Linked DNA regions of Tamandua tetradactyla. The protein of the gene in region 2 purifies or fractionates together with the protein of the main gene of each other region. This does not show direct contact. Links are inferred from orthologs where the notes say so. Each region holds a gene or a part of one and is shown on either strand. Other genes may lie near its edges. The genes, in order: CSTF2T and CSTF3.

Region 1 (8,564 bases), on a different chromosome or scaffold from region 2:
TACAAGCTACACCAGTTACTAGGCCTCTGACCTTGGTCAAGTCCCTTGCATTTCCTAGTCCTCATTTTCTTCATTTATAGGTGAAAAAAAAGAGAAAGAGAGAGAGTTGGACTATACAATCCCTTTCAAACAGAACATTTGGTTCTGTCCAACCTCTAGGTCTTGAATGACATATTCCCAGCAATCTCAAATTCATGTAATCTTAGTTTTGCCAATAAAAATGATTCATCCCTTGCATAAATAAAATTTACTATTTATTCCTCTGTTGTTTTATATTAAATCATTAAAAATTTTAGCTAAAATGTCACACACCATCCTAACAGTGGGTTTGAAAAATGCTGGCTCTTTCACTTCATAGAAAATCAGTTCATTACCTATCTAACTGGATGTTTTTAAAATTCTGATGTGATGTTTCACTCTAGTCCTGAAAATTGAAAAGGGAAACATTTTCCCAATTGCTTCAATCTTTATGCTGTATAGTCCATCTGTTGCCACAGCACTGATTATGATGTCAAAATTGAGATTAGTTTCATCAGAAACAATCAGGAAAAAGGCCAAGGGAAACTATGCCAGGCCTCAGAAACCTGTGATTACTATATAAATGTTGAAAAGGATGTTTAAAATTAGAGACCTGGTTTTTGGCTGTAGCTCAATTTAAGAACTTGAGCTCCTGAGTCAGTGTCTGTTCAAATCCTGACTCTGCCAGTTAATAGCAATATAATAACCATGGGCAAGCCAGTTGACGTCTCTGTAGCTCCATTTTTTTAGCAACAAATTGAGATACTATGATGGCTTGACTCAAAAGGGTAGTTGAAAGGAGTAAATAAAATATTTTATTTCACAGAGCATTTATCAAAGGACCTCCTACATATTAAGTGCTCAGAGTTAGCTTTTATTAATAGTATCTATAATTTGAGCGAGTCCATTACTGATAAAGTTCTATATAATAGCTCTCTGAGTTTTCACATCTTTAAAATGAGGGTAAAACTGTTTGAGCCTCACATGATTGCTGTCAGGACCAGATATGGAAATCCAAGTTAAAGTGTTTTGTAAACTAAAAGGGCTAAATTATTATTTGCTTAACATAATGTGTCATTATAAGATGGCCAAGCACTGAGTGTTTGTAATATAAAAGGCACAGGACAAGACATTATGAAGAATATAAATCAGATATGTGTTATTTGCTTAAGTGATAACATAAGGCTATTAACACCTATAATACAAGATAGAAGATAATGAACATCAAGCTAATATTCTAAAAGGGAAGTCTTTTTTTTTGGACTGGAGAATCTACGCCTTTATTTTGTTAAGAATACAAACATGTAAGAGCAGTTGGGGGCCCTAGTCATAGCTATGAGTGTCCCTGGGGGGTCAGGGTCTTCCCTGTCCTTCTGTGAATTTATATTAAGGGGAAGTCCTGAAGTGAGCATTGAAGGACAAGAAGGATTTAGACTTGGGGAGAAGAGGTAGAGAGGAAAAATATTATCCCTGATAGAGGAGCAGTATAACCTCAGAGGCAGAAATGCACAGATCATATATGGTGAAAAGTAAGTGGTACAACTTAGAAGAAAATACATAAAAAGGAGGGAGGCTAATGACAACGAAGCCACATAATTATAACAGGTTGTCAAATGCAGGAAGCAAGTGCTGCAATTTAGGAAAACTGTCATGAGGGACTGAAATAGACAGTTCAGGTGCAGAAGATACCATAATGGAGAAAGAATCTATAACACTGGTATTCTTAAACCCTCACCATTTATTCCATGGTCATGTTTCAGAAAGAGGGAAGAAAGCCTGACTGCACATCAAATTTAGACTCGTGAATCTGGTGGTTAAAATCTTTTATAATCTGTCTCCCAAATCAATCATTTATCACCCTACTAAACAACTCTCTATTGATTTCCTCTGTGAGTATCAAAATTACCAGGTCCCAACTGTGTGTCTTGGCTACTCCTAGCTACTAGATTATCCTCATCATCTTTTTTTTAAGCAATTTTATTGAGATACATTCACAAACCATATAATTATGCAAATTATATAATCAGTAGTTCACATTATCATCATATAGCTGTGCATTTGTCATCTTATCATCTTTTGTCCATTTGACCAGATTATAACTCATTCCTTAAATCCCATCTTCATCAGGAAACGTTCCATGGTGATCTAGATGGTATCATTCTCTTCCATCTCTATGTTACTCATTACATATCTGGTTTATCAAATAGTAACATGGACATACCATGCCTAAGCTAGGAGTGAACTGGTAGGATTCTAACAGCATGCTTCTTTCCTGCTTTGGAACATATCATTTAACCCCCAAAATTTCCTTCTCTGTAAAATGAAGGGCTTGTGGATTAGCTAACCCTAAATTCATTTTTCATTACTCACTGAACAAATATTCAGTGAGAAACTACCAGTGCTAAACTCTATTATCTGTACTGAGGATAGTGATGAAGAAAAACCATCTATCTATGGCTGTTTTCCTGTAGTACTATGGCTCTCAAACTTTAGCCAGCATCAGAATCACTTGGAAGGCTTGTTACAACATGAATTTCTACACACATGCACCATGCCCTCCAGAGTTTCTGACTCCCTAGTTAGGGACAGGGCCCTCAAACTTGCATTTCTAAGAGGTTTCCAGGTGATTCTGATGCTTCTGGTCCAGGGATCAAACTTTTGAAAAATCTCTATTCTTGTAGAATACTTGACTTTTTCACTGCTGTATTGCCTCTGACTAAAACTATACTCAGTATGTATTTATGGAATGAAAAAAATAATAGAAATTGATATGGGGTATCTAGCTCTTTCTCTTGAATGATTTTATAGTCTACAGGGAAAACACACTAATTTCATTAACAGGTTTAAGAGTTATTGTCATGAGGTAGGTACAAATAAGGAATGGTTTACATCAAAAGGAAAAGGAAATTATGTTCAACCTCGAGGAAGAGGAGGAAGATCTGGAAAAACTTTGTGGAGGAATATATTCAAACTGTGCCTGGAAGAATCCATATACATATTTCAAAGATGCCTGCCACACTCAAAATATTTTTAGAACCTCTCTGTTGAATTTATCTTATTAATCTATAGTGAATCTTCCATTAATGTCCTCAAAGTCTATGGAATCTTTGTATTTTGGTATAAGTTTTGATATTTGAAAATAGCGAAACATCAGACTTTGGCATGTCTGGCCAGAAAGTTGGGTGATTAATTTGTTTCTGCCAAAAGCAAGTTTTGCCACTAATTATCTAGTATTACTTAATGATGGGGCCCTGAAGCGATACCTCAGAAAGCGTTTATAATTCAGTTTAAACAATGGCAGCATCAATAACTAAAGTTCATATTCTATGAAGGTAGTCGGTTTGAAAGACACCCCCCATTTAGCCATCTAGACCCTGATGTATTTTTTTAATCATCATTTGCATAATTAACAGCTTGATTTATTGAACGAATTGATCAGTGGACATACAATAAGCTTTGTATATTTTTCTTCAGAATAAATATTGTGCTATAAATCCCTTAAGTTTAAACTTTCTGGGAATAAAGAACATTGTATAAAAATGGACATTTTTCCAAAGTAGAGCTATAAAAAATATGTATTTTCACCAGTAAATGTACACAGGTTCATAAGAGCTCTTGGTGATTCTGGGCAACTCTGTTAATAATAAATATTAGTTTATGCGTTGCAGGCATTTACTTATGTGCTGGGTCACATTGGTCCTCCGTGAAGGGGGCCGTGTCAAAGCAGCACCCACCATTCTTCCTATCCCTGGATGGAACAGGGTGACTGAGAAGACCATGGAGGGCTAAGGACAAAAAGCAGGCTCATGCTCTCGGCTGTTTGTCCACAGAATTTCTCAGCTTCTCTTTGTCTACCCATCCTTTGAGCCCGGGGTTATCTTCAGTTGTGTGTGTGTGGGGGCGGGGGGGGGGGGGGAGTTGCGTATCAGTACATCCTAGCAGTACTAGATCCACATGATTTTTTTTTTCAAACCACCCAGCTCTCCTACCTTTTAACAGAGTGTACTAAATTTAATTCGGCCTAATGCATGTGAAGATAAAGCATTTCAAGTTTTTTGTTTACGAGTGGTTGTTAAAAGTGTGGGTCCCAGACCAGCCTGAAACTTGTTACACATGCAAATGACCTAGTCCCACCCCGGATCAGAACCTGGGTGGGAGAAAAGAGCCCCAACAATCTGACTTAACGAGCCCTAGTTCCAGGTGTTTCCGTTGTGGGCTACCATCTGTGAACCACTGGGTGCTATCAGTAGCAGCAGTAAAGGAGCTACTTTTTAAAAGTTTTCTGAAATACCATCTTTAACTCCTCACAACCCCACCCCCGGCCCCCCATAAAAGAAAAAGAATAAGGGGGGGGGGATCTTTCCTAGCAGACAGCTTTTCTGTTTCTCTGAGGCAGCAAGTAGATTTTATTGGGTGATATATATACGCTTGCACATACAAATTGGCATGTGTCTTGGGCGAACAGGTATGTCAAATCCTGTTTGAAAAGACTATTAAAACACTTGAGAGTAAATGGATGCAATAAAAATATCGTATTATATACACTGAACTATAAACTAAATGCCTACTAATACAATGGTTACATACATTTGCTTAATTCAAGCCTTGCAGCCACAAAACGCTATTTATTAGCAATGATTAACATTAATATCGACTAGCACTATTACGAAAAGAAAGAAAAACAATCCAGTATGAATTGATTGATTTTGTGAACCAAGAAAAATCTGCAAGAACCGGCAAACCCGAAGCAACAGATTGGGGGCGGGGAGGGAACCGGCACACGTGTTCAGTCTTTCTGCTTAGGCAGTTATTTTCCAAATATGTTTTTCTCTAAAGGAGAAATTATGTTTGTAATTTAAGGAGCGAATATCAAATCGGCTTTAAAACTGCCCTTTCTGTCATAGTTTGGAACATGGTTTTAAATATTGCTTAAATACTCTACATTAAGAGTAAACGGCTACATGAAAATATTTGCCTCAGAATGAAGAAACACCCCCCTGCCTTCATCAGCTTTCGGTTGGCGGTTTCGCGCCGGCCGAACGGAAGCCGAACGGACCCTTGACGTCAAAAGAGGCGGCCTGTCTCGTTTACCAGGATGAAGCCAATACTGCCATCTTTACTTAGGTCACCTCACACCAAGCTCTCCCTGGTAGGAGTAGGGCGCCATGGAAAGTCGGCATAATAAGAGAAAAGGAAAAGTGCATCTCGGTAACAATTTGCTGACAGAACCACGAAAGGCCTGGGGCTGGCAAGCGTTAAACTAGGGGGACATACAGGTGCGGTTTCCGCAGAGAAGCGGAACGATTCAAGCGCATCAATGAGGTTTCTGCCCGGATTTTGAGAGCCGTTTCCGCTAGTTGCCGGAAGTGTGTATTGGGGGACAACTCTCGAAAGAATCCGCTATCCGCTGTTTTCATAAACGGAATCATGTCGAGTTTGGCTGTGAGAGACCCGGCAATGGATCGATCACTGCGTTCCGTGTTCGTGGGGAACATTCCGTATGAGGCAACTGAGGAGCAGTTAAAGGACATTTTCTCGGAGGTTGGTTCTGTTGTCAGTTTCCGTCTGGTATACGATAGAGAGACGGGAAAACCCAAGGGTTATGGCTTCTGCGAGTATCAAGACCAGGAGACCGCGCTTAGTGCCATGCGGAACCTCAACGGGCGGGAGTTCAGCGGGCGAGCGCTTCGGGTGGACAATGCTGCTAGTGAAAAGAATAAGGAGGAGTTAAAGAGTCTAGGGCCGGCAGCGCCCATCATTGACTCACCCTATGGGGATCCCATCGATCCGGAAGATGCCCCTGAATCAATTACTAGAGCAGTCGCCAGTCTCCCTCCGGAACAGATGTTTGAGCTAATGAAGCAGATGAAGCTCTGTGTCCAAAACAGCCACCAGGAAGCTCGAAATATGTTGCTTCAAAACCCGCAGTTGGCTTATGCGCTGTTGCAGGCACAAGTGGTGATGAGAATCATGGATCCAGAGATTGCTTTGAAAATTCTGCATCGTAAGATACATGTCACGCCACTAATTCCGGGCAAATCTCAGTCTGTCTCCGGCCCAGGCCTGTGCCCAGGACCTAATGTTCTGCTGAACCAGCAGAACCCTCCAGCCCCTCAGCCTCAACATTTGGCTAGAAGACCCGTGAAAGACATTCCTCCTCTGATGCAAACTCCTATCCAGGGTGGAATTCCAGCCCCGGGGGCGATCCCAACTGCTGTTCCTGGACCTGGAACTGGTTCCTTAACTCCTGGAGGAGCAATGCAGCCCCAGGTTGGAATGCCTGGGGTTGGCCCAGTGCCTTTAGAGCGGGGACACGTACAGATGTCAGATCCCAGGGCGCCTATATCTCGTGGACCCATGACTGCTGCTGGCCTGCCTCCTAGAGGACTGCTAGGAGATGCTCCAAATGATCCACGTGGAGGGACTTTGCTTTCAGTTACTGGAGAAGTAGAGCCCAGAGGTTACCTGGGCCCACCCCACCAAGGTCCCCCCATGCACCATGTCTCTGGTCATGACAACCGTGGACCTGCCTCACATGAAATGAGGGGAGGGCCATTAGCAGATCCCAGAATGCTAATTGGAGAGCCCAGAGGACCCATGCTAGATCAAAGGGGTCTACCCCTGGATGGTAGAGGTAGTAGAGATTCTCGAGTGATGGAGACTCGAGCCATGGAGACTGAGGTCTTAGAGACACGAGTAATGGAGAGAAGAGGAATGGAGACCTGTGCGATGGAAGTTAGAGGCATGGATGCAAGAGGAATGGAGATAAGAGGTCCTGGCCCCAGTTCAAGAGGCCCTATGACTGGTGGAATCCAGGGTCCTGGTCCCATCAGTATGGGGGCAGGTGGCCCTCAGGGTCCCAGACAGGTTCCAAGCATTTCAGGAGTGGGAAATCCTGGAGCTGGCATGCAGGGGACAGGCATCCAAGGAGCAGGCATGCAGGGGGCAGGCATGCAGGGGGCAGGTATGCAGGGGGCAGGCATGCAGGGGGCTGGTATGCAGGGGGCAGGCATGCAGGGGGCTGGTATGCAGGGGGCAGGCATGCAGGGGGCAGGCATGCAGGGGGCAGGCATACAAGGGGCAGGCATTCAAGCAGTGGGCATCCAGGGGGCAGGCATACAAGGAGGCGGCATGCAGGGGGCAGGCAAGCAAGGTGGAGGCCAGCCTAGCAGTTTTAGTCCGGGGCAGAGCCAGGTAACTCCACAGGATCAAGAAAAAGCAGCATTGATCATGCAGGTTCTTCAACTGACTGCAGATCAGATTGCCATGCTGCCTCCTGAGCAAAGGCAGAGTATTCTGATTTTGAAAGAGCAAATCCAGAAATCCACTGGAGCTTCTTGAAAAGTTTTAGAAAATACACAAGGCAGTAATCTCAGAAAGTTAATTCTGTAGCATGGAGAAGGGGTGCAAAAAGCTGATTTACACATCCCCACACTTGAAAGTTTAAGATTAAGGTTTACCTCTGCTTCCTAGAGCCTAATCTCATTTTTTCTTATTTTTCTTTCCTTCAGCTTTCCTTTTCACTTTTAATTGGGGGGAGGGGGTGGAGGGTATGGGTCTGTTCACTCAAGTTACCGAGAAATACAAAAGTAACACTGAACATGATTGTATTTTACCAAAAAAGCTTATAAAGAATGTGCGACAATATGAAAGGTATCTACAATATGTTAACTACATTTTTAAAAATTGAGTAGAACTATGAAAACTGCACATAAAGATTATGGTAACCTGTGTTAAAATGGCAATGTGTTAAGATAGTTTAAGATTTTAAGTTGTAGAATAAAAAAGTTTACCTCAAAATTATAAAGTTATATTTTTTGGTAAGCCATTTAAAGGCTAAGCTTTATGTTTTTGAGTTATGTTGAAATGTTAAGAGTTAATGGGATAAGTTTAAACTTGTGGTATTGGAATTGCTTTCTTCTAAAGCTGTGCTACCTGAAAAATCAAGGAGTGCACCTGGTTTTATGTTGCTTCATTTATCCCACCCTTCAGAGACATTGTTCTAGTCTAGCTCTGATTAGATTCAGTCTAATTCAGTACCTTCCCTTGCCTCAAGTCTTTAAGCCCTAAGTCAAATCTGAGTAATTTTTACTTGAAAATTTGTATCACAGAACAAGTGTTGGTTAACATAAGCCTAAACTTCCACATAGCCAAATGATCGTACTCTGAAGAAAAATAACCAGTTACATAAGAAAAAATATTTAATGCAAGGAGAGAGGTAAGACTTAGAAATTGAGTTAGTTTTCCTCTTCAGGATTTTAACATCCTAAATGGGGATTGCACTCTTTTCACAGAGTTCTTCATCACTACACTGTTGTTGCTCTTTTACTACTGTTTTTTGTACATACTGTTAACTTTCCCATGTTTTCTATGTACTCATCCCATACTGGAGTGGTAACTCTCCTTTATATGTATGATTGCTCTGGTTAATACTAATTCATAGTTGATTTCATTATCTTGAAATTACAGTTGTTTTATCATAAAGCTTTTACTGAAGGGCTCTAATGATGCAAACTATTAAGTGTTATGCTTTTTGTTGTTGTAAA
Region 2 (8,387 bases):
ACTACAGAGATACAATTTCTTACTTGTCAGACTGACAAAAAAAATCCAAGTCTGACAACATATACTTGAAGAAAGTGTGAGAAATAAGGCTCTCTCATACACTGATTGTAGGAATGCAGAATGGCACAACTCCTATGCAAGAGAATTTGGTAAGCTCTAATAAAGTTACACACATATTTACTGTTTGATTGAACAATCCCACTTTCAGGAATCTATTCTGAAGCTAGACCTCCACACACGTAAAATAATATGCGCAAAATTATTTACTGCAGCATTATTTGTACAGCAAAAGATTGGAAACAACATAAATATCCATCCAAATGGGACAGGCAAATTTATGCCAAACCTACACAGTGGCATACAATGCAACAGCAAAAAAAAAAAGAGAGAGAGAGAGAGAGAGAGAAGAGATACAAAATCAATGAAATTATGGGAAAAAAAAAAAAAGACCAACACCCAACATAATGTCAAATTGGAACTGAATACAGGGTACCAGGGGTTGAGGAATAGGGAATTAATGCTTAATGGGTACAGAGTCTCTGCTTGGGATGATGGAATAGTTTTGGTAATGGATCATGGTGAGGATAGCACAACATTGAGAATGAATTAACAAGAATGAATTATAAACTTGAATATGTTTAAAATGAAACATGCTAGGTTGCATATATGTTACTACAATATGTATTTTTAAAATTTTAGTTGGAGGATAAGATGGCGGCTTAGTAAGATGCGCAGGTCTTAGTTCCTCCTCCAGAACAGCAACTAAAGAAACAGAAACAATACAAAACAGCTCCCGGAGCCACGACAGAGACCAAAAAGACAGCGTACCCCATTCTGGAACGGCTGTATGGGCAAGGAGAATCTGCTGCAGTGAGATACCCGAGGGGCGTGCGTTTTCCCGGCCTGGGCGGCTGGCGACTGGGGTCCCCTCCACGCACGTGGCTCCCCAGTCTGACTGGGAACGTTGGATAGCAGGGCCCTCCCGCCACGCTTGGCGTCTCGGGCCAGCTGGACAATTTGGACCGGCACTCCCCCAAGCTGCGGCGGCCAGGGACCCCCCCCCCCCACGTGCGGTTTCCTGGGCCGACTACGAGATTCGGATTGGCAAGTTAAAGGAGCCACAGCATCTTTTACTGGTGGGACCCGCAGACAGACAAGCACCACGAGCGCCACCTACTGGGCAGGAAAAGAAAAACAGAGCCCAGAGATTTCACAGAAAAACCTTTCAACCAGCTGGTTCCCACACCCAGGGAAATCTGATCAAATGCCCAGACACCAGCAGAAAATAATGGATGACGCTCGGAAAATTGAAGATATGGCCCAGTCAAAGGAACAAACCAATAGTTCAAATGAGATACAGGAGCTGAGACAACTAATGCTGAATATACGAACAGAAATGGAAAAACTCTTCAAAAACCAAATCCATAAATTGAGGGAGGACATGAAGAAGACATGGGCTGAACAAAAAGAAGAAATAGAAAATCTGAAAAAACAAATCACAGAACTTATGGGAGTGAAGGACAAAGAAGAAAAAATGGAAAAAACAATGGATACCTACAATGGTAGATCTAAAGAGACAGAAGCTACAATTAGTGAACTGGAGGATGGAACATCTGAATTCCAAAAAGAAACAGAAACTATAGGGAAAAGAATGGAAAAACTTGAGCAGGGGATCAGGGGACTGAATGACAATATGAAGCGCACAAATATACGTGTTGTGGGTGTCCCAGAAGGAGAAGAGAAGGGAAAAGGAGGAGAAAAACTAATGGAAGAAATTATCACTGAAAATTTCCCAGCTCTTATGAACGACCTAAATTTACAGATCCAAGAAGTGCAGCGCACCCCAAAGAGAATAGACCCAAATAGGCGTTCTCCAAGACACTTACTAGTTAGAATGTCAGAGGTCAAAGAGAAAGAGAGGATCTTGAAAGCAGCAAGAGAAAAACAATCCATTACATACAAGGGAAACCCAATAAGACTATGTGTAGATTTCTCAGCAGAAACCATGGAAGCTAGAAGACAGTGGGATGATATACTTAAATTACTAAAAGAGAAAAACTGCCAACCAAGACTTCTATATCCAGCAAAATTGTCCTTCAAAAATGAAGGAGAAATTAAAACATTTATAGACAAAAAGTCACTGAGAGAATTTTTGACCAAGAGACCAGCTCTGCAAGAAATACTAAAGGGAGCACTAGAGTCAGATACAAAAAGACAGAAGAGAGAGGTATGGAGTAAAGTGTAGAAAGAAGGAAAATCAGATATGATATATATAATACAAAAGCCAAAATGGTAGAGGAAAATACTATCCAAACAGTAATAACACTAAAAGTTAATGGACTGAATTTCCCAATCAAAAGACATAGACTGGCAGAATGGATTACGACCCAGCAATACCACTGCTAGGTATCTACTCAAAGGACTTAAGGGCAAAGACACAGACGGACATTTGCACACCAGTGTTTATAGCAGCATTATCTACAATTGCAAAGAGATGGAAACAGCCAAAATGTCCATCAACAGACGAGTGGCTAAACAAACTGTGGCGTATACCTACGATGGAATATTATGCAGCTTTAAGACAGACTAAACTTATGAAGCATGTAATAACATGGATGGACCTAGAGAACATTATGCTGAGTGAGTCTAGCCAAAAACTAAAGGACAAATACTGTATGGTCCCACTGATGTGAACCGACATTCGAGAATCAGCTTGGAATATATCATTGGTAACAGAGACCAGCAGGAGTTAGAAACAGGGTAAGATAATGGGTAATTGGAGCTGAAGGGATACAGACTGTGCAACAGGACTAGATAAAAAAAACTCAAAAATGGACAGCACAATAATACCTAAGTGTAATGTAACTATGTTGGAACACTGAATGAAGCTGCACCTGAAATATAGTTTTTTTGTTTGTTTGTTTTTTTGCATCTTTTGTTTTTGTTTTTTTCTTTTTCCTTTTTTATATATATATATTTTTTATTAGTATTATTATTTTAATTCTCTTCTCTATATTAACATTCTATATCTTTTTCTGCTGTTTTGCTAGTTCTTTTCCTAAATCGATGCAAATGTACTAAGAAATGATGATCATACATCTATGTGATGATGATACTAAGAATTACTGAGTGCATGTGTAGAATGGAATGATTTCTAAATGTTGTGTTAATTTCTTTTCTTTTTTTTTGATTAATAAAAAAAATTAAAAAAAAATTTTAGTTGGAAATCTCAATATGAACTCATAATTAAATCCATACATTTCCTGCTCTGAACACTGAAAATGCCACTACAGTAGGAACTGGGATCCCACCGGAGAAATGACTGGACCTGCAACTGGGAACATTGTGAGCCTGGGACATCTTGTGTAGGCCAGGGAGATGTCCAACACTAATGGCATCATGTAAAAAGGAGGTGTGACCAACTCACCCAGTATGACAACACTTCCACTAGCCCCAAAAGAACAGTGATACAATTAATTGAAACACCTTAAAATCTTAAAAACAACAACAAAACATGAATTCACGTTTTTATGTTTCAATAAAGAGAAAAGCCAGAAAAAATAAATTTCTACTACTTGAAGCAGGCATTAAATCAAACACTTTACTGAGAAAATTAGTCAGTAAAGGGGAAAAAAATAGGCATCTATCTTGCTTTCTTAAGATTGATGAGGGAAAACGCTTTTTTTTTTTTTTTACATGGGCAGGCACTGGGAATCGAACCCGAGTCCTCTGGCATTGCAGAGCAAGCATTCCTGCCTGCTGAGCCACCATGGCCCGCCTGGGAAAGTGCTTTTTAACAGAATGGGAAAAGAGTTTTTTGAGAAAACTTGATCTCATTTAATCTCAGACTATGCCAGGTTCTGCTCCAAGCAGTTTTTCATGTATTGACCTATTCAAATTGCTGGCACTATTAATATTCCCCTTTATAGGCAAGAAAATTGAGGCACAGAAAGGTTAAATTGCTCATGATTGCTCATCTAGTTAGAGGTGGACACATAATCTGGCTCCAGAGCCCAACTGCTATTATCTCCACTTTGCAGATAAAGAACCACGGTAAGGTACAGTTTAGAACCCCGGTTGTACGGCCTTCAAAGCCTTCTGCACAATAGTACATGGTGACGGTAAAAATTAATATGGGCTTGGGGGTGCAAGGGTAGTTCAGTGGTAGAATTCTCACCTTCCATGCAGGAGACCTGGGTTCCATTCCCCATCCATGCACTTTCCAAAAAGCAAACAAAAATTCAACAAATGGTGCTGCAATAATGGGATACTCACATGGACAAATAATGAAATGTGATCCCGCCATACATCATACAAAAAAAAAAATTAATCTGGGCTTGGTCTGGCTGTTCTTCACACCCCAAGAAGCATAAATATTTTTAGCTGATACCACAGAAAATCTTGATGTATTCCTTATCCCCTCAGAAGAGGAGGCATTTAACAGTTAACACTGTTCCCTAAATGGGAACTGACCTGAACTGACTGGCAAGTTCTAGTTCAACTGTTAGCCCTATTCCTACAGGATAGGGCTCTGTAACTCCGTAATTAAGTTCCAAAACCGCGTGAGTCCCCAGGCCAAATGGTTTCCCGCCTCCCAGCCGGTTGTAACCAGCTCAGCAACAGCCTCTCTCACCCAAGGGCGGAGACTCAGCCCTGGCATTAATTCTGGCCTCTGGGATCTTTCTGCGTCTGCGCACCTAGAGTAACTGGCGTGCGTCGGTACTAGTTCCGACCTTTGGCCCGGAAGTTAACAGGAAGCCACGCCCCCTCTGCTCGGCCGGCAGGGGCGCAGCCATTTTAATTCACATCTGAGTGGGCGGTGGTGTTTGGTGTTGGCGGTCTGGCTCTGCTGGGCAGGGGTAACTTTATTGGTCTGGGGTTGGTTTTTAGTTTAAAATTTCTTTTCTAGCTTCTCGTCGGGGGCCAGTGTGCACGTTTTAATCAGCTGAGGCCATGTCAGGAGACGGAGCCACGGAACAGGTGAGGAAGGAGAGTGGTGGGGCCTCGTGGCGACTCTTCTCTCCACGTCGGTGTTCGTCCGCGTTCGTCCGCGTACTCCAGCCATGTTCGCCTGAGGAAGAAATCAGGGGTCTCTTGAACCCGGAGAACGGGGTGCTGAAGAATGAGAGAATGGGGAGCAAGATCTGACTGGAATTAAGAAGTGTTTTCCGACTTCTCTCTCGTAGGCATTATTACGAGCAAATATTTGATCCGAACAATAGCCGGGAGGCTGCTTTGTCCCCTTTAGATATAGGAATACTTGGCATGGGATGCTTTTCCTTTGATGTCGTTTTGTGGTTAAGATGGTTAGGAATTATTTTAACGTGTACCCGCCGCCTTTGAAAAACTTAACAATGTTCCCTCCACCCCTTTTCCAAGAAATATACTGTACCCAGAAATAGGGAGCTTACTAGTTTGAGAAATAATTGGAGACAAAACATTTGGGGAAAAATGTTCTTGGGAGAGCGAATGAAGAGAAAAAATCTTCGAGCGCTCATGGTTATGCTGAGATTCTGGGAATTTTGTGGCTTTCTCGCTCCTTTTTCTCCCCTGTACCTACATTTCTTTTTTCCAGCGACACAGACATTGCAGAATTTGATAAATCGGAAACGAGAATTCTGTTTTGGCTACTTAAGTAAAAGCATCTGTTTTAGTACTAGATATGCCACTTAGGTGTTTTTAAACTAATATTTTTAGGTCAATGTGGTTTTTTCTGTTCTTTTGTAGTTTCCATTCAGAATTTGATAGTAACTAGTTTTTTTTTTTTTGAAAGAGGTTTGTTTGAAAGCTATTTTGTGAAAGAACTCCTTAAATTCATTTTCTGTGTGAAGTCCTGGTATGTTTAGATAGAGACAGTTTTTAAAATGGAGACTAGCCTGCAAACTCAATTTCCTGAAATTTCCCATTGCCATAGCAACGAAATACACTTACGTTTTCATTTTCGAGTCCCCAGCATATAACTAACTTATAGGCTGACAGAGAGGAGACAAAATAGGAACATTCCCCTTGAATAGGCTGTACATTTCATTATACTGTGCAAGTTTGTCTATGGACAACTTTTTGTGTTTGTTCATGGACTCATTTTAGTCCTGAAATTTTCAGTGTTTACATGCTGTGTAATGCTCAAGAATGTAAAGTCTTAAAATTAAATCAAAACTAAATTTTACCTGTCCTTTTTTTCTGGACTAGTATTTTGTCATCTGAAAGCCAGGGAGGAGTAATGCAGTGAGGTTTCATTAAGTTTCCAAAATTCAGTGATCGTTCTTAAAATGCATCTAAAACCGTAAAGATACTGAAATGTTGACCATGACTTTGTATATTTCAGAACTGTGCTGTTTTAACGGAAAGAGATGGTGGTGAAAATTCACAGAAAAATAATTTCCCCCAAAGTTAGATAAAAATTGAAAGTGCGTTGAACAGTTACAGTACAGTTCTTCGCCTGGAACCAAGTTGTTAATATTTTGCCATAATTGCTTTGTTTCAGCATAATTTACTTGAAGGTCATTGACAAATATTTCACCCCTATATATTTCAGCATTCTCTACATTATGTTATGTAACCACAATACCATTTTCACACCCAAGAAAATACTAATTCCATATCATTTAAAAATCCAGTCCATGTTCTGATTTTCCCAGTTGTTCTAAAAGTGATTTATAGGTTTTCTTTTTGTTTTAGTTTGTTTTCAGAAACAGGGTCTAATCTAGGTTCACATATTGTGTCATGTGGTTATATCCCCAGAGCAATCATAACCCTCTCTCCCAAACATATTGTCTTTTTGAAGAAGTCAGTTCAGTTATTTTCTCACTGTCTGGATTTATTTGATCGTTTTCTTGTGGTGTCATTTTACTTGTCTGTAGATCTTTATCCAAAATCTTTAGGATTAAATGTGAACTCAGCCTTGATAAAAATTCAGGTTAAATATTTTTTGCTAAGATACATTTAGGTGGTGCTTCATTTTCTATTACATCAAAAGGCACTTGATGCTGGGTTGTTCCATTGTGCTGGTTTAGTTTAATTAGTTAGGGTGGTGACTGCTGAATCTTTTCATTGTAAAGGCTTATTTTACCCTTTTGCAGTAGGTAATGTGGGTTGATACCATGTTCCTCACTCAGACTTTCTTTTCATCCATTGATAATCTTTTACTAAACCAGTTATTACAGTGTAGGTGGCAAAATGAAGACTTTTTAAAAAATCCTATTATTGTAGTTATATTTATTGGCTCATGTTGTTCTGTAGAGAGGTTTCCTCTCTCTTTTAAAAAAAAATTGAGTATCACTGATTCATGGGTTTGTTTATTTAGTGTTATATTCAGCTGTAGTAATTTTTCTTTTGATTAACTTATCCCAAATTTACCTGAGATAGCACCTTTATGGTGGCTCCTATATCTTTCCTTCAGTCTGAAATCAGATATTTTTTGACGTCTGATTCTTCATGCAACTTTTTATTTAACTTTTAAATAGTAAATTTCAAACACATAAAAGAAAGAATAGGGCCACAGTGGCTCAACAGGGAGAGTTCTTGCCTGCCATGTCAGAGACCCCAGTTTGATGCCTGTCCATGCAAAAAAAGAAAGAATAGTACAGTGTGTCAACTTTACTTGTCATCCAACTTCAACATTTCTCAACTCAGGGTTGATATTGTTCTTTCCATACCTTCACTTGTCCCCCCCCCCCCCATTACTTTGAAGCAAATTCCAGATATTATATGATTCAGCTTTTAACTGAATTGGTAATTAATTGACATTTTAGAGTGACATTAAAAATATGAATTAACTGTACTTTGTTTGAAAGTGAGACAGCTGTTAATGAAAACTTAAAGGGAGATGAGTGCCTAAAATGATGGGTGAGGGAAAAAAGTAAATAAAACTATAGAGAATAATAAGAAAAAAGCAAAACCACTCTGAAGCATGAATTTGCTTTGAAAGGATGTCAAGGGTTGAGATGGATAAACAATCTACAAGATACGAGGTGTAGATTTCTTTTAGCCTTCCTGTAGCATGGAAACTGCAAACAAGTTTTTGGATAAACTTGATAATGCCTTAATTTGTTACTGAAAAATATGGATGACAAAAAAAAATATGGATGATATTTCCCTTGGTATTATAGTTCTGGTTGAAAGAGGAAAGTGTGGGAGATGAGCAAAATCACTGCTAGGGATTTTGGTTGTAATTTTTTTACTGTGATAAGAAGTTCAGTTTTGGGCAGGCCAAGGTGGCTCAGCAGGCAAGATGATTGCCTGCCATGCCAGAGGACCCGGGTTCGATTCCCGGTGCCTGCCCATGTAAAAAAAAAAAGTTCAATTTTTCCATTTAGAGAGCTACATTAGTTTCTGTACAGTGTTCTGAAGTATTCTCTTGGAATTCCTTGTTTACTGTTTTTGCTAGA

The links.
Region 1: the proteins of CSTF3 (region 2) and CSTF2T purify together in Homo sapiens (co-immunoprecipitation; 4 studies listed by BioGRID and IntAct, counting the BioPlex papers as one, with this or other methods). This does not show direct contact. The link is inferred for Tamandua tetradactyla from reciprocal best matches to the Homo sapiens genes CSTF3 and CSTF2T.

Annotation. Positions count from the first base shown.
Region 1 is NC_135339.1:45,356,506-45,365,069, forward strand, and holds the start of CSTF2T (cleavage stimulation factor subunit 2 tau variant), read left to right. Parts: upstream 1-5,111; 5' UTR 5,112-5,445; coding exon 5,446-7,359; 3' UTR 7,360-8,564. UniProt on the Homo sapiens protein: May play a significant role in AAUAAA-independent mRNA polyadenylation in germ cells. Directly involved in the binding to pre-mRNAs.
Region 2 is NC_135334.1:109,356,216-109,364,602, reverse strand, and holds the start of CSTF3 (cleavage stimulation factor subunit 3), read left to right. Parts: upstream 1-4,771; 5' UTR 4,772-4,953; coding exon 4,954-4,980; intron 4,981-8,387. UniProt on the Homo sapiens protein: One of the multiple factors required for polyadenylation and 3'-end cleavage of mammalian pre-mRNAs.